2 linked regions of the Struthio camelus genome follow. The protein of the gene in region 1 interacts with the protein of each later gene in a pairwise test. Links are inferred from orthologs where the notes say so. Each region holds a gene or a part of one and is shown in the gene's direction. Other genes may lie near its edges.

Region 1 (7,103 bases):
CTAGCACCCTAGGATTCAGCAGCAGCAGCTGTTTTACCCAAAGCTTTAGAAAAATGGAATCAAAAGATCAAAACCCATGCATGTGCAGGCTCTCCCTGGTGCACTGCACTGCCCAAGGTGATACCATGTGTGCTCTGCTCTCCCATGAACCCTTCCACTGGGCCTGGGCCACCATCCTGCACCCTGCCCTACCCCTGCATCAGGTGGACACTTTGGTTCATCAGATACTTTTGTCTCTGGGTGTCAGCAAATAGCCCCGTCACTAGGTCACACTTATATTTGTGGTTGTATGATTGTATTTAGGGAAGGCTTAGCAAATGGCCACAGACCTTCCCCGGTGTGGCTTTCCAGGAGATGCGCCCTCCAGGGATGGCTCGCCTCCCCTGGTGGGATCAGCACATTGTGTCTTAGGGTGTCTAAGATGGTGACGGAAGCTCGGACACAGGGTTCGGAGTTCATGTCCAGGGGGAAAAAAGAGAAGGATCTTTGCACAGAGCTCTGTGCCCGTCTGCTCCAGCACAGCCAGCTGGATAACAGAGGAAGGACTGTGGCTTTCTCTATGCCTCTTTTTTCTTGCTGAAACAAGGGGGATCTGTGCTCTCCCTGAGCCTTGTCCAGGCCATGAGAGGGTGAAGAGTGTTGCAACAGCACCCTGGGACTCTCCCAGCTCTGTTTGGGGAGGGAGGGTTGAAAAGGGAGCCTCTAGCTCCCAGTTCTTGAGAACAGAGCCTGTCAAGACCCACAGCCCTCAACAGTCCCTTCTGGCCCCCCTGCTGCCATTCATGTTCCCCTTTGCTTATGGAGCCTTTGGGTCAACTTTGATTGGGATCAAGATGAGAAAGAACGTCCCTGTGGAAAGGGAGCAGCCCTCCATTTGGACTGTTATGGGCAGGGGCCCTGGAGCAGGTGAGCAGCAAGGGAAGGTCGTTCTAAAGAGCCCTGCAGCTAGGGAAAGGACCAGCTCTAGTCCCATCTCCCCACCCCGAGCCAGCACTTGCTGAGTGTCATGTGCTGCTGAGCACTAGGTTGGCCTAGAGGCAACAAGAGAGGGGACCCACAGTTCTTTCCATGTCCCAGCAGATACCAGCCCCAGGGTCTTCGTCCTAAAGAAGATATTCAGGTACAAACATCTCAGGTAGCTACTGAAAGAAAGGATGGTCGCCTTGCTCCACAGCCCAAGCCACCCACCGAGACCTCCTGTCCTATTCCTTTCCATCTCTCCAAACCACTTGACCTAGAGGAAAAGACCTCGCCTCAGGAACAGCCCTCTGCCTTGTGCTCTCCCACAGCATCTCATAGTCTGCCTAAGAGCAAGGCACTTGCTCTCACCAGAAAGTAGTCCCCCAAATTCCTGTAGAGCAGCTGAGCTTGGGCCAGAGCCTGAAAGCACAATCCAGCAGAGCCACTGGATGGATTAAGCCAGCCCGGGGTGGTCTGACTGTCATGGGCTGGATTCCAGCTCCATCCTGTCACAGTTCCTTCCTTGGTGAAGACAGGAGCAGCCAGTAGGAACAGCATGTTGCAGCCCACATCCAGCCACCTTCCTCTGTCCTGCACAGGCTCAGGAAAGGATGGACGCAACTCTGCTCCTCAGGAAGAGGGAGCAGCTAACCCAAGTCACAGCCTTGTGGTTTCTCATCCGAAGGTTAATGAGAACTCAGCCCTCCAGGATCCAGGCTTGCATGCCGGAGGGGTCATGCCAGAGCTGGATGCTTTTGGACACACTGAGGGGTGGGAGAGATAAGTGTATTGGAAGGGCTTTGTGTTCCTTTGTCAAGTGCCCTCCACTCTTCTTTCTTTACTTAATCTCTATTTGGCAATGACGTCATTTCTTCAATTATTAATCACCTTGCTGCAACAGTGACTGAACTAAACCCATTAAACCTCCTCTGGGAGCAGCCCCAAGGAAGGAGGCAGGTTTCCAGAAAGTACATTAGAGAGAAGGCAGACAGGGAGTCGAGACAACCTGGTGTGGGAGGAGATGGCCTTGCTGCACAGTATAGGCCATTTGCCATCCGCTGGGAATTTGATAGCCAAGGCAGGAGCACAAACTAGTGTAAGACATATAGTACAAACAGCCTGTTCACAGGTCCCATTGGCCAGCTACAGAAGGGTGCTTGTTTGGCAAATGTTTCAGCTGAAAAAAAGGTTCAGAAGTGCAGGGAAGAACTGCTTACACAAGAGCTCATGGCATGAGAGCTCTCAATGTGAAGAAATCCCAAATGTTGTTGCCAGATTACCCCCATCACTTTTGGCAGTGGTGGACAGGATGGTTTTGCACAGCTACTCCTTATGTAAAGATGCCGATTTTGTATGACTTGCTTTTAAGAATCCAGGAATTTGGTTAGCACAACCCCAGCACAGCCCCCTTTACCATCATCAGGGATTAACCAGGGAACAGCCTGATAGGGTTTTCAGGCTCTCTGCAAAAATGCTGATTTGTCAGAATTGGGAGATTTTGCAGAAATGTGAAAGTTCTGACAAACATCCTAGTGGGAAAAGCTCCTCTACTGTGGAAGGGGATTCCTGGTCAAAACCGCAAGAGCTGGCCACAGCCAGGTAATCTAGTGATTTGCTGGGCTGAGAGAGGGCAAAGATCAGGCCACAATACAAGTCTCAGATGAGTGAACGGACCAGAGAGACGAACCCAGATCATGTTATCCTAAAGAGCATTTCTGCCACCAATCTCTCAACTGTTCAGGGGAAGTAAAAAACATCTCCTTTTTATCTTTCCTTGTTTTTTGGACAGAAGTAACAATATTTTGCCCATCTGCCAGCGTTACCAGAGAAATGACCTGTCTATTTTCCTTGCTCTGCTCAGCCAGCTGTGTCCACAGCTGCACACGTCTCCCAAGCTCCTTGCCCACAGCTTGGACAAAACAGCACCTATCTCCCCTTGGCAAAGACCCACAGGGCCTTCCTGCACGCTGCTGGTCTCCCTGTCCAAAGCGACACTGACCTGCAAAGGCAAAGGCTAACCTGCAAGAAAACCACCCGAGGCATGCTTCCCTGACATTTCCTCCCTGGTCCCAAGCAGGAATTTGAAGCCACGAATCCAACCTAGATCTTAAGCCAAGCCTGACTAAGACTACTCAGCAGGATAGCGGGAGCACAGTTCACCCCAGCAAAGGTAAGGTGAGGGGGTGGAAGACAGTGCCCTGGAGACATGCACCCCTCGGGCTCCCTGTAAACCATCCCTCCCCGGAGGAGCTGGAACGGCGGGGCCATGCAGGGAGCGCGGCATGCCTCCAAGCGCTTACCTGGTCAGTTTACGCTTTGTGACAAGCTGGTGAGGGGGAGCACGCTGTCCCCTCCCAGGGCAGCCCAGGCCAGGCTAGGGGTATATGAGGGAACCGCGTGGCCTGGTGCCTGGGCAGAGCCCGGGGCAGGGACGGGGCGCAGCAGGCCGGCTGCTGCTGGAGGCTCCCAGCCGCCTGCCCACGGCAGTCCCACCACGCCGGCTCGGCTCGACCCGGCCAGGCCCCCCCCCGGCATCGCGCCAGCTCCAGCCACAGCTCAGAGCCCTTCGGCCCTGGGCCCCCCGCGCCCGGGGCAGCCCCGGGGCCCAGGGCTGGCCAGGCCCCGCCCAGCCCTGCACTGCCCCCGGCCCCCGCCAGGGGGCGCCACGCGCGCCAGCCCACGGGCGCAGCCCGGGGAGTGGCAGCGGGGTGTGAGCGGCAGGCGCCGTGCCCAATCAGAGCAGAGAGGGTAGGGAGGGGCGGGGGCCACGGCTCTAGGGTGGGCACGCTAAACTGGGAGGTGTCAAGAGGCGGGATGGAGGGCGTGGCTCCCGCGGGGAGGCGGGAGTTGGTGTTGAATGCCATCCGCTCGGGCCAGTGAGCTTGCCCGTGCTCCCGTGAAGCTGGCCGCCTGAGCGAGCTCAGGCCGGTCCTCCCGGGAGCTCCGGCCGAGTGGCGTTGGGGGCGGCCAATGACAGCCAGGGGCGGGGCGGAGGGCGGAGCCGCAGGGGAGGAGGCGGGGCGGGTGGGGGCGTGCCCCGCGCGTGAATGGCGGGTGGGCGGGCCAATGGCGCGGGGTCCGGCCAGCGGCGGCGCCGAGCGGAGCGGTTGCGAGGGCGCGGCACGGCGGGGCCGGAGCGGGCGGCGGGCGCAGTGGGGCCATGGACCGCGTGAGCAGCTCCATGAAGCAGGTGTCCAACCCGCTGCCTAAGGTGCTGAGCCGGCGGGCGGGCGGCGGCGGCCTGGAGGCGGAGCGCGAGAGCTTCGAGCGCACGCAGGTACCGCGCGGGGCGGCGGCGGCGGGCGGGGCTGGCCCAAGCGGGCGATGCCGACCCAGGTGGGTGAGGCCCCCTGGGTGGGCGGGGCTTGCCGCGGGTGGGCGGGGCTGCCGCGGGTGGGGCTGGCCCAGGTGGTCGGAGCTGGCTTGACTGGGTGGGGCCGAGGTGGGCGGAGCTGTTCGAAGTGGGTGGGGCCGACCTGGGAGGGTGGAGCCAGCCGGGCCCAGGGGGCTGCGTGGGGGCGCCCGGACGACGGGTGTGCTGGGCACGGCACGGCAGTGGTGTCCTTGGCCCAGCGCCTCTGTGGGCGCGTGGTCTGTCCCAGCTGACGGCGCCTCCCAGGGGGCCAGGGAGACTGGCCCTGCACCCCAGGTGTCTGGCGCTGGCCGTCTTCGTGGCCGCTGAGGGAGCAAAACGTGCGAGCTCCACCTGTGCGCCCAGGAGTTCAGCCGCCGAGCCCGGGCAGGGCGCAAGCTCGGCCCGTGGGGCCGGGAGTTGTGCCCGTGCCGGTGCTGCCTCGGCCTTGTGTGCTCGGGGGCTTGGATCGTGTTCTCCATGAACGCCCTTAGCGCTGCAAGAGCCTCTTTGTTGTTTAGGCTGGAGACAGGCACCGCAAGCGGGTTTAGTGACCGTGCTAGGTGTTTGTTATCTTGGAGGGACCCGCCGTGGTGCTCGCAGGCACCTGCCCAAACCGTCCTGTTGGTGTAGAAAGGGAGGGTGCAGGCTGCAGGGACAGCCCTAGGACAGGCCCTAGGGGCCTTTATGTGGCTCCTAGGAAAAGGCAGGTGATGTGTTTAAAAGAAGACATGGTTTTTTTCACCATCAGCTTCCAGAGCATATGTTTAGAGTTGAGGCAGTTTGAGGGCCTTTTTATATTTCACCTATGCTTCCTGTCATAGGGTGGCTCAGATCCTATCTGCCCGTCTGCTGGGAGTATTTGGTTCAGTAGCTTGCACTTTCCAGAACTCATTAGGAGACTCAAGGCTGAAGGATTCATGCGCCTGCTGCTTCTGTAATGTTCTTACTTAAACATTTAGATTCGTACAAAACACTAACATAAAAGCCACTTTTCTCTGGTTCTTCCTGGGGGCGTGCGTGTGCAGAATGTGCACTTTGTCTTGCACAGAAGGGCTAGTGTTGGCCGGGCTTGCTGGTCAGCTGCGTATGGGTTGTGCCATTGCCCCAGCGCATTGTTATTTGCTTTGGGATCTTTTGTATCTTATGCAACTCTATAATTGTATATGGTAAATAACCCTCTGCCTTGCAGAGCTTGTGGCTCTGGAGTTGGGAGCGAGACAATCCTTCAAATGCAGCACGGAGTGGAGTGCGCCCCTTTGCCTGGGAGTGCCCATGGGATGGGGGGGGGCTGCGGGCAGGAGGTGGGGAGGGGGCACGTGGGCGCTTTGGGGGAAAAGCGGGCAGTTTCAGGGAAAGGAGATGCTTGAAAGGATTGTGTATGTAAATGTAATGGAAACGGGAAGCAGGGCTGGGGACAGCATGCCTCTGTTCTGCACTTTGTGAAATCATAGAAAGTAAATGCATATTGGTGCCATTTTGATGGCACTAATGATCTACTAACATTTTACTCCCACTCTACAGTCACTGCTGTAAGCGAATGTGGGAGGTGTGAGGAAGCAAAGAATCTGGCCCCTCAAGGGGAAGAGGAAGTAAAACTAAGGCAGGAAAGGAGTAGAGGTGGTTCAGGAAGGGGTTAGATGGCTCTGAGGGTGGAGAAGAGGAGGCTATATGACCTGGAAAGACACAGATAAAGCTGGCATCCCACGCAAGGCTATAGCACTGCTGAGTGGGAATGGCGTGTGGCTTAATGGCTAGGTGGTAAAGAACAAGGATCAACTCTGAGTTTTTTACAGAAAGAGAAACAAGAAGATTTAAGGTTGAACGTGCAGTTATGCATAGGGAGCCTTCTCATGTTCCTTGCTTAAATTACCCAGAAAATTAATTATTTATAGTGCTAAAGGTGGAACTAGGACTAGTTTTGAACTCTAAAGGCAGTGCGTGCAGTTGTCTGCCTTCTTAAGCGCTGACAGCCCTTTGACAGGATAAGGAAACAGCAAAAGCCTCTTCATTTTGGAGTTGAACAGTCTTCCTGCAACTAACAAGGAACAGCAAGTCCCATTTGTCAGTAAATGACCCCATGCTGCATGGGCTAATGGGATCTCCACTTCAAAGACGCAGTGTATTCCCTCGGGACCCTCGGGAGCCTTTGCTTCCCACCCAGAAGGTGATAATTAGGAGAGGGCTAACAGTTTGGCTGCGGGGAGCAGCGTTCGCGGCACAGCACCCGAGGACTGGACTGAGTGCCAGCAGCACCGCAGTCTTTGCAAAGCTTGGAACATCCATACGATCTAAATTTAATTTTCCCGTGTAATTTGCAGACAAGTGACACAGCATGTGTTTCTAGGAGGTGCTATCCCGGCACCACCTGTCTCTCCTGAAATGCTAGCTCAGTCTCTTCAGGTCTTTTATTTCTTCAGCTTCAATGTATTCAGCTCTGAGCAATTTCCTGTCTTTTACCTTCATTTTTTGCCTATTTCCCTCCAGTTTAAGGAACTTGCCAGGCCCCCCTCTGATCTTGCACACATTGGGCATCCACAATTTGAAACTAATTTCTTTAGCTTTTTTTTAAATAAAATCTAATGTTTCTTTATTTGGAAATGATTTTTTTCACAAAAGTTTCTTCTCTTAAAGGATTTCTAAAATGAGGATTTTTCTTGTATTTCCTTATGCACAAGCTCCTTCCCTCCTTCCCTCCAAACCTGCCTGTCTCATAACAGTAGAGCCCTGGTGAGGAAGAATATTCTGGCTAAAGGATCCTCCACGTGCAGAAGACATGTCAAAATGGGCC
Region 2 (7,272 bases), on another chromosome or scaffold:
CTGTTCTTAGACACTGCTATTTAACAGCGCGATTGCTGTTTAATAGCACTGCTACTGCTTACATGAAGTTGTGAGACAATTTAAACCCAACCCCTACCTTTTGAACAAGTCCTAATGTTAAACCTTTTCCCACCCTAAGCACAGTGTTCCCTCTCTCAATAACCCCCAAAACCTTTCAGCAAACTCTCCGCAGCAAACTCTGCCTTATTAATATTCTTTGACTTTGCCACAGTTGTGCTCTCATTGTATTTTTGTTTAAAGTAATTATCGTTCTGGTCTAAAGGGTCATTTGTATTTAATATAATCAACTAACTAGAAAAGCTCTTTTGAGCAGACTGAGATGTTAACAGCAGTAGATAAAAATACAACAGAAAGTTGCAGGACTTGTCTTTGAGCAGGATGTTATACGTGAATGCTCACTCTGTTTATAATATAAAAGTTATTTCTAGCTGGGCTAGGCTCTCTTATATCTGAAGTGATTTTGTTTTGAGATGACAAGGTAGAGAACTAGGACCTCCAGGATGTACAAGACTGATTTACCCTTATTAAACAAGGGTCCAAATTTTCAGCGTACACAGCTACTTACAGACCCCTATCTTTCTTGGCCAGATCCTTAGGTCTCTAGTTTGTTTAAAGCTGACTGCTTTCTGGCTTGATAAAAAATTCAAAGGATCCAGGTCAGATTCAGATGTGAGAGAAGGGCACAACTCCCTTAGGATGCATCATCCAAGTAATTCCATTTCTCTAGGTAGGGAAACAGGAGTGTGATCTCACATTAATACTGCCAGGATAATCAGGTTGCATCAAGAAGCCCTTTCTAGCTCCTATCCAGAAAGCTCCTCGCATCTTGGTACCACACTATACTTAATGCTCAGAGTTATAGGAGAGCGGAAGCCTACATGTTTTTGGAAAAATGTGTCCACAGATATTTACCTTCTACAAAAAGGAAAGATGGATAAAATTCAAGGTCACTTTCTCAAAACAGCTCCCTGAGCTCCCACTTCTCAGTGATACAATGGTAAAGCATAGAAGTTCATCTTTACATAGGCATATCCTTGTATTCCCACTCAAGCAGTCTGGAGCCAGCACCCTATATAGAGTCAGATATTAAGCATCTGTACAACTTCACAATGGTAAAAGCACCTAGTTAATGGTGCATGGTAGTAACTGTGATGGTAGCAGTGAGTGTTATTTTATCAGCTTCGGATGCAGTCTTGTTTGCTATTTTTCTGCCTTTAAGTCACTATATACCTAAGGCTGCAGGAGAACTTTAGCTCTAATTCTGTACCCAAGTGTGGTACCCTTGCACGTTGTAACTATACTAGTAAGAGCTACCAAGGCGGCCTCTAATTTTTTTTGCTTGTTTGTTTTCTATATATGCAACTCCAAACTCCTCTTTCCACCAGGAATTGAGTCAATCAAAACTAAGCTGTCTTCAGAGTCTTCAGTCTTTCTAGACTGTAGAAATACTGCATTCTGTAGATCTTCAATTCATCTGGAGGAGCTTACAACCAGCTTCCGGACTGTTTTGTTCTTAAAACATACCTGCATTAAGAAAGCTCATAAGCACACCAGGCGCAGCACTGACTTCACTCACCACTTCATAAGATGTTGAGAGAGCAATTCCTTCGAATATATAGCTCCATCCATTTATATTTGGTGGCATCTCTAGTGTCATTTCCTTTCCCGCCCCACTTTCCCTCAAAGTAAACATCTAAGCAAGATTAGCAAGACTTGCTAAATCTCTCTAGACTCGTTAGCAAGATTAGTCAGATTCACTGGTGGGTAACTGCCTAATCTCAGTTCTTACAGCAATCAGACAACGAAAACATCAGCTCCGTAGGTCACTCTTCTAGAAATAACAGTTTTTTGGATTTTGTTTTTGTGTTTTTGATGAGCACCGCTTCCACTCAGAACTTTTCCCTAGTTTTATTAAGCCAGAAACTATAACAAAAGGACAAACAGGAAACCGGTTTAAATTGCAGGAGGCTACTAGCAGCAAGTTCTACTCAAGGCTGGCTTGACAGTTTCTAAACCCATTTTTTCCATGGTCACAGGCATTCTGCTGCCAAGTTAATTGCAGTTAATACCGGTAGGCACATTTCTGCAGAATTATTGCTAAATTAGAAACCAAGGCTATAGGAAGAAGCTTCAAAAGTAAATCCAGTACAGCTCACCCAAACATATCAAAGTGCTCCAGCAGTACATTTAACGTGCAAATACCAGTATCTTATAAGGAAATAGCTTATTAGCATATAAGAGATATACTTTCTATTGCAATATTTCAGCTACAGAAAGTTGAATGGGGCCAGGAGAAGGGAAACGTGAATAAAACTACTGAAGAGGTTTCTCACTTAAACAAAACAACCCACACAATAACAAAAGTCAGATTATTGCTTCGTTAAAAAGCTTCCACGTTAAGATCCTTAAGAGACAAAATAAGCATGCTACCAACTGTACAAAATCCATAAGTAATATTACTTTTGAGGCATACTGCAAGCTTATTGCAAGAGCATCCTAGCTGCCAGTGTAAGACAGGAGAAGAGAAAGTCAGGGGAGATCAGAACTGTCATTACGCCATTGGCACACTAGCGCGCATAGCTCCCACGTAACCCTGCATTAGAGGTCTTCGGTATACAGAGTGCTCAAACTTCACTGTACCCGTTTGCACGAGGGCTTTTTTACTTTCAAAAAAAGCAAGATCACCATTCTTCTCAATTAGCTACAGTTTAATGATAGTTCTTTATGATACAAACTGGGACTTGGTCAAAGGTTATTTTAGAAGCAAGGAGCTGCCAAGCAGTAGAATCCTTCAGGGCAAGTTTCCTCCCCCCCATCCCTTATTATACTTATGATAGGGAATAAAAGAGAAGGGAAGAAGGCTAAAGGAGGCTTTTCTGCAGCTCACTGGTTATGGATAGGCCTCACTGTCCAGGGCAGTCTTCCGAGAGAAGGGAGAATTCAAACAACTTAGCAGTGGGGCAACACTTAGAAACATTAGAAGCAAATATGATTGCTAATAGCATTAAATAGAACAGCAATTAGCTCCAACACAAGGTGTAGGGCAGTACCTTACAGTTGAGCAAGAATCAGTTTTAAAGCTTTACACCAAGTTAAATTACAGGGAAGTCAATATTTTACAGAAGAACAGAAGATGAAGAGAGGCCAGAGCTGCACTCTGGTGAGTTTTCCAGATACATCCAGACAATTTCAAGAGTTCACGGACATTTGCAATAGCGCAGCCAGTGAAACAGGTTTGTGCTGCAACCCTCACTGAGCCAAGCAGCCCAATTTACGTGGGCCTGGGAGGAGGTTGCTAGTGTTCAGGCCACGCTTGCTTCAACAGAAGCAACCACAAGAAAAAGTGGCCGTCACGCTCTTCATTTATATTCATAATTTGTTGTATCCACGGCTAGCTCTACTGAAAAGCCTGTCCGGATGAGATGACACCATCGCTCCTGAACTTCAGTCATCAGAGGTAACATGCTATGTATACGTACATCCCATGTCATAGCTTAATTCCCGACATATTAGCAAATTTGCTGAAACGGCAACATTAAATTGTTTTAAACAAACGTTAAATCGAAAGGCGCCACTCTTTTTAACGGCTCTGTCTAATGCCAGCTACACAGCTCCCACACGCTTCTCCCACCGCCGAAGCGGGTTTCATACTCTGCTCCCGAGAGCCTCCCAGACCGCAGGGCCCCGCGCGGGGGGGGGCCGCCCCAGCCCCAGCCCGCACCGTTTCTACGACCTTTTAATCGAGTCAGGACTCTCGCCGGCAGCTCCGGCCCCTCCGAGCCCGCACCTGCGCCCGCCTCGGGGGGGGGGGGGGGGCCGAGGGCGCCGCCCGCGCGGCGCCCGGCCTCCCAGCGACCCCCGGCCGCAGCGCCAGACCCCGCCCGGCGCCCGCGCTCCGCCGGGCAGCGGCCCCGCTCCGGGCCTGCGGGGCGCCGCCGCGCCGCTCCGCCGAGGGGGCGGCGGCCACACGCAGCCCCTCAGACGTCCCCGGGGGGGGGGGGCGGAAAGGAGGCGGCGCGGCAGCGGCGGCAGCGGCGCCCCCCCCCCGCGGGCACCCTCCCCACCCCCCCGGCGCTCACCGTGGCTGAGGGGCTCCGCGCGCCGCGGCGCACGCACCGACGCCACAGCGGGCGCGACGGCTGCCTCGCGCCGCCTTATACGGGGGGCGGGGCGGGGCCGGCAGCGGCTGACGGGGCGCGCGCGCGGGGCGGGGCGTTAGCGGCGGCCGCCCCTCGCCGGGAGCGCTCGCCGGGGCGAAGCTGAGGTAAAAGTTCCCCCCCTCCTCCGGCTGCCGCCTCAGCTCGGCCCCGCCGGCGGCGAGGTGCGGGCGTGAGGCAGCAGCCGCCCGGCGGGGCCCCGACAGCCGGACCCGGGCCCCGGGCTCGCCCGCGGCTGCTGGGCCCGGGCGGCCCCTCAGGCCCGCCGAGGAGCGCCGCCACGGAGCCGCCGGGGCGGGGGGCGCCAGGCCGCGCCGCGTGTGCGAAGGCGGCTGTGCTAGAGCTGTGCCCCGGGAAAAGGCCCTTCCGCGGCTCCTGCCGCAGCAGTGCGCCACGACCGCTGCGCCGCAGACCCCGGGGGCAGCGCTGTGCTTGTTTGTGCTGACAGCATCCGGCTGGGCCTGGGCGCACCGCACGAAGAGCCCAACCCGAGCAGGGCTGGGCTCGTTCCCCCTGAGGTCATCCCTTCCCAAACGTGTTCTGTACGATCTCGTTCCCACCGTCTCCACCATATTTAGTAAATCACCCTATGGGGGCATAGTAACGGCGTAACTGCATCAGGAAGTTGCCCAAAATAGGGTTCCTCCCGGCTTCCGCTGCACTGATCGTTACTGATGTCACAGCAAGATGACCATGGAGCGTTCACTTCTCTGATGTGGTAGGACGGTTGCTGGCAAAACAGCTCTCAGCTTGTTTGACAATCGTTTGAAGTCTTAAGAGCTGCAGCCAAGGAAGCTTGGAGGGAATAGAGCGTGACAGGCGTTCAGAAGTTGCTGTGCACTTTGTGCCTACACAAGCACCCGCTTTACAGTGTTCAGATCCTGGTTTATATCCTGCACGGCTTTCGAGTGAGGAAAAGTAATTGTTCCCTGCACTAACACTCTGTCTGCCATGGGCTTGTGACAGTCATGAATGTGTTGTCCCCTTTCCATTCTCATTCAATGACAAGCTAAATATTACCCAGTACCTAGAAGGATACAGTCGGCACCTGATCTGTACTCACTTTCAAAACTGTCCGCATATGAGACATGTTTTTCCTGGAAGCTGTGCAGCCCTGCTCACACAGTTTGGTGTCTTAGTAGGCCTTCCTAAAATTGCAGTCTAGATGGTGATGCTGGACTGCTCCTGAATCCTAATTAGCCAGTCTGGAGCATTAGCAGAGCGGCTGTCTTGTACAGAGCACCCTAAGCATGCCTCCTTGTAGTTTTGTTTTTTAAAAGAAAGTGCAAGATCAAGTACTACCAGGGGTTTACCTTCACTATTAATAACGAATGGTCTGGCTGGTCTGACAGAGCAACGTTGGCCATGACAGTAACTAATCTTTCTGTCAACAGATGCAGAGGTAGGCTCTGGGGCAGAACTTTCATATGATGTTTAAATCCCATTGAGATACTTGAATCCCTACGGACACGCTTGTTTTACATACGTAACCACAAACGGGCACTCCACTGTGTGATATGAGTGTCCTAACAGCAAGACATTCACGTTAGCGAGAAAGGTCAGGCCCTTTTGTACAAAAAGTGTGAATGCAATTATGACAGAACTGACTGGTAAAAGTCATACAGCAATAGCACAGCTCTAAGCCGTAAGAGAAGCCCAGCAATCTCTTTTAGCATAATTTGAAAACTTTTTGTCCTTGCAAAACTTTTGGTGATTTGTAACCCAAATTTAGTAAATCACACGGAGAACAAAGTAGATTCATTCACATCAGTTTCTTGTCTTTGCTAATGGGCTGCTTGATCTGTGCAGAATTATAGCATGGGAAAGTTTCCAGTCTGCTATGAAGAAAGCACAGGGCAGTTAATCCTTCAGAACTGCTTGAAACCTTCTCCTCTTACTTCGTCACTTCCACCTGTCCCCAATTAATGCTTAAGGCTTATAGCTAGGGCAGGGCCCTAGGTACCCCTGATCCTCACAGCTGGAGAGCACAAAGAACTCCGTTTAGTATTTTACAGGGAACTCGTGAAGCATACTGGCAGACTCGGTTAAAGCAATCAAGTAGCATGCTTTTCAGCTGTGCTAGTAATGAGAAATTGAAAGTTTTCTCCAATTCATTTATTGTTGTGCCTTAGCTATGCACAAGTAATTAAGAACTATGAACATGCAACCTGCTCGTATAGGAAATAGTTTTCTTTTCCTAGCAAACAATATTACATTTTTTTCTATGAGATGAAATATTTTCAACATTCATATTGTGTGCAAACATTCAGCAGTTTTCTGAATTGTATACCATCATTTAAAGCACTCTCCTGCTTTGACACTTTGTTATCACAGCACTCAACAATTTAAACCGTTACATATACTTGTTGACCTCACTGGGAATTATATGCAGAATTCCAATGTCAGCTATAATCATTGTCACAGTCAACCTGATCTTTTTGCTAGAGCTAATCTTATCCCTAGCATAGTTTCTAGAAATGCTGATTTTAACAGTTGCTAATTATAGAGATTCTTTGGTTTCTCTTCAGGAACTATACAACTGTTAGAGAAATTCACTATCAGATTAAGATTTACCTGTATTTTATTTTGCTAGAGATAAACTGTTTCCACTGTTGCAAATTCACATCATGTCCCTCAACTTCAGATAGTTAACATAGATGTTTTAAACCTACCTCTTTCAGAGCTTCCTTCTGTTGGTTACGCTCTCCAAGTATATTCTTGGTATTTCCATTAGCTATGGGATTTTGGATGGCTGCTCTCAGTGCTCGTTCCTTTAATTAGGGACGTGCATTGCGTTACTTCTGAAGTGGTAGCTAGCAAAATAAAATGCTCTTATTTCCTCTGTTCCTACTTGGAAAGACAACAGATGTGCTTTCACTGGATCTATGGTGCCTGTTCAGTTTTCTGTTGCTTTGTAGCTCTCTTTGGTGCAAAATGTCTTTAATAATCATTTTTGCACTCCAGAAAGTTTATCAGGGAGACAGACAATTCCATAGAGCATTTTCTCATGTGTCTTTAAGTCTATAAGGGATTCTTAAAGAGGACAAAATGCAACTATCTCTATTCAAGGAGATGTAAGTGACAACTTACACCT

What was found.
Region 2: the proteins of HIP1 (region 1) and LITAF interact in binary tests that used the Homo sapiens proteins (3 or more experiments, as listed by UniProt). The link is inferred for Struthio camelus from reciprocal best matches to the Homo sapiens genes HIP1 and LITAF.

The regions. Positions count from the first base shown.
Region 1 is NC_090957.1:9,397,384-9,404,486, reverse strand, and holds the start of HIP1 (huntingtin-interacting protein 1), read left to right. Parts: upstream 1-4,043; 5' UTR 4,044-4,120; coding exon 4,121-4,237; intron 4,238-7,103. UniProt on the Homo sapiens protein: Plays a role in clathrin-mediated endocytosis and trafficking. Involved in regulating AMPA receptor trafficking in the central nervous system in an NMDA-dependent manner. Regulates presynaptic nerve terminal activity.
Region 2 is NC_090956.1:12,990,080-12,997,351, forward strand, and holds the start of LITAF (lipopolysaccharide-induced tumor necrosis factor-alpha factor), read left to right. Parts: upstream 1-4,207; 5' UTR 4,208-4,285; intron 4,286-7,272.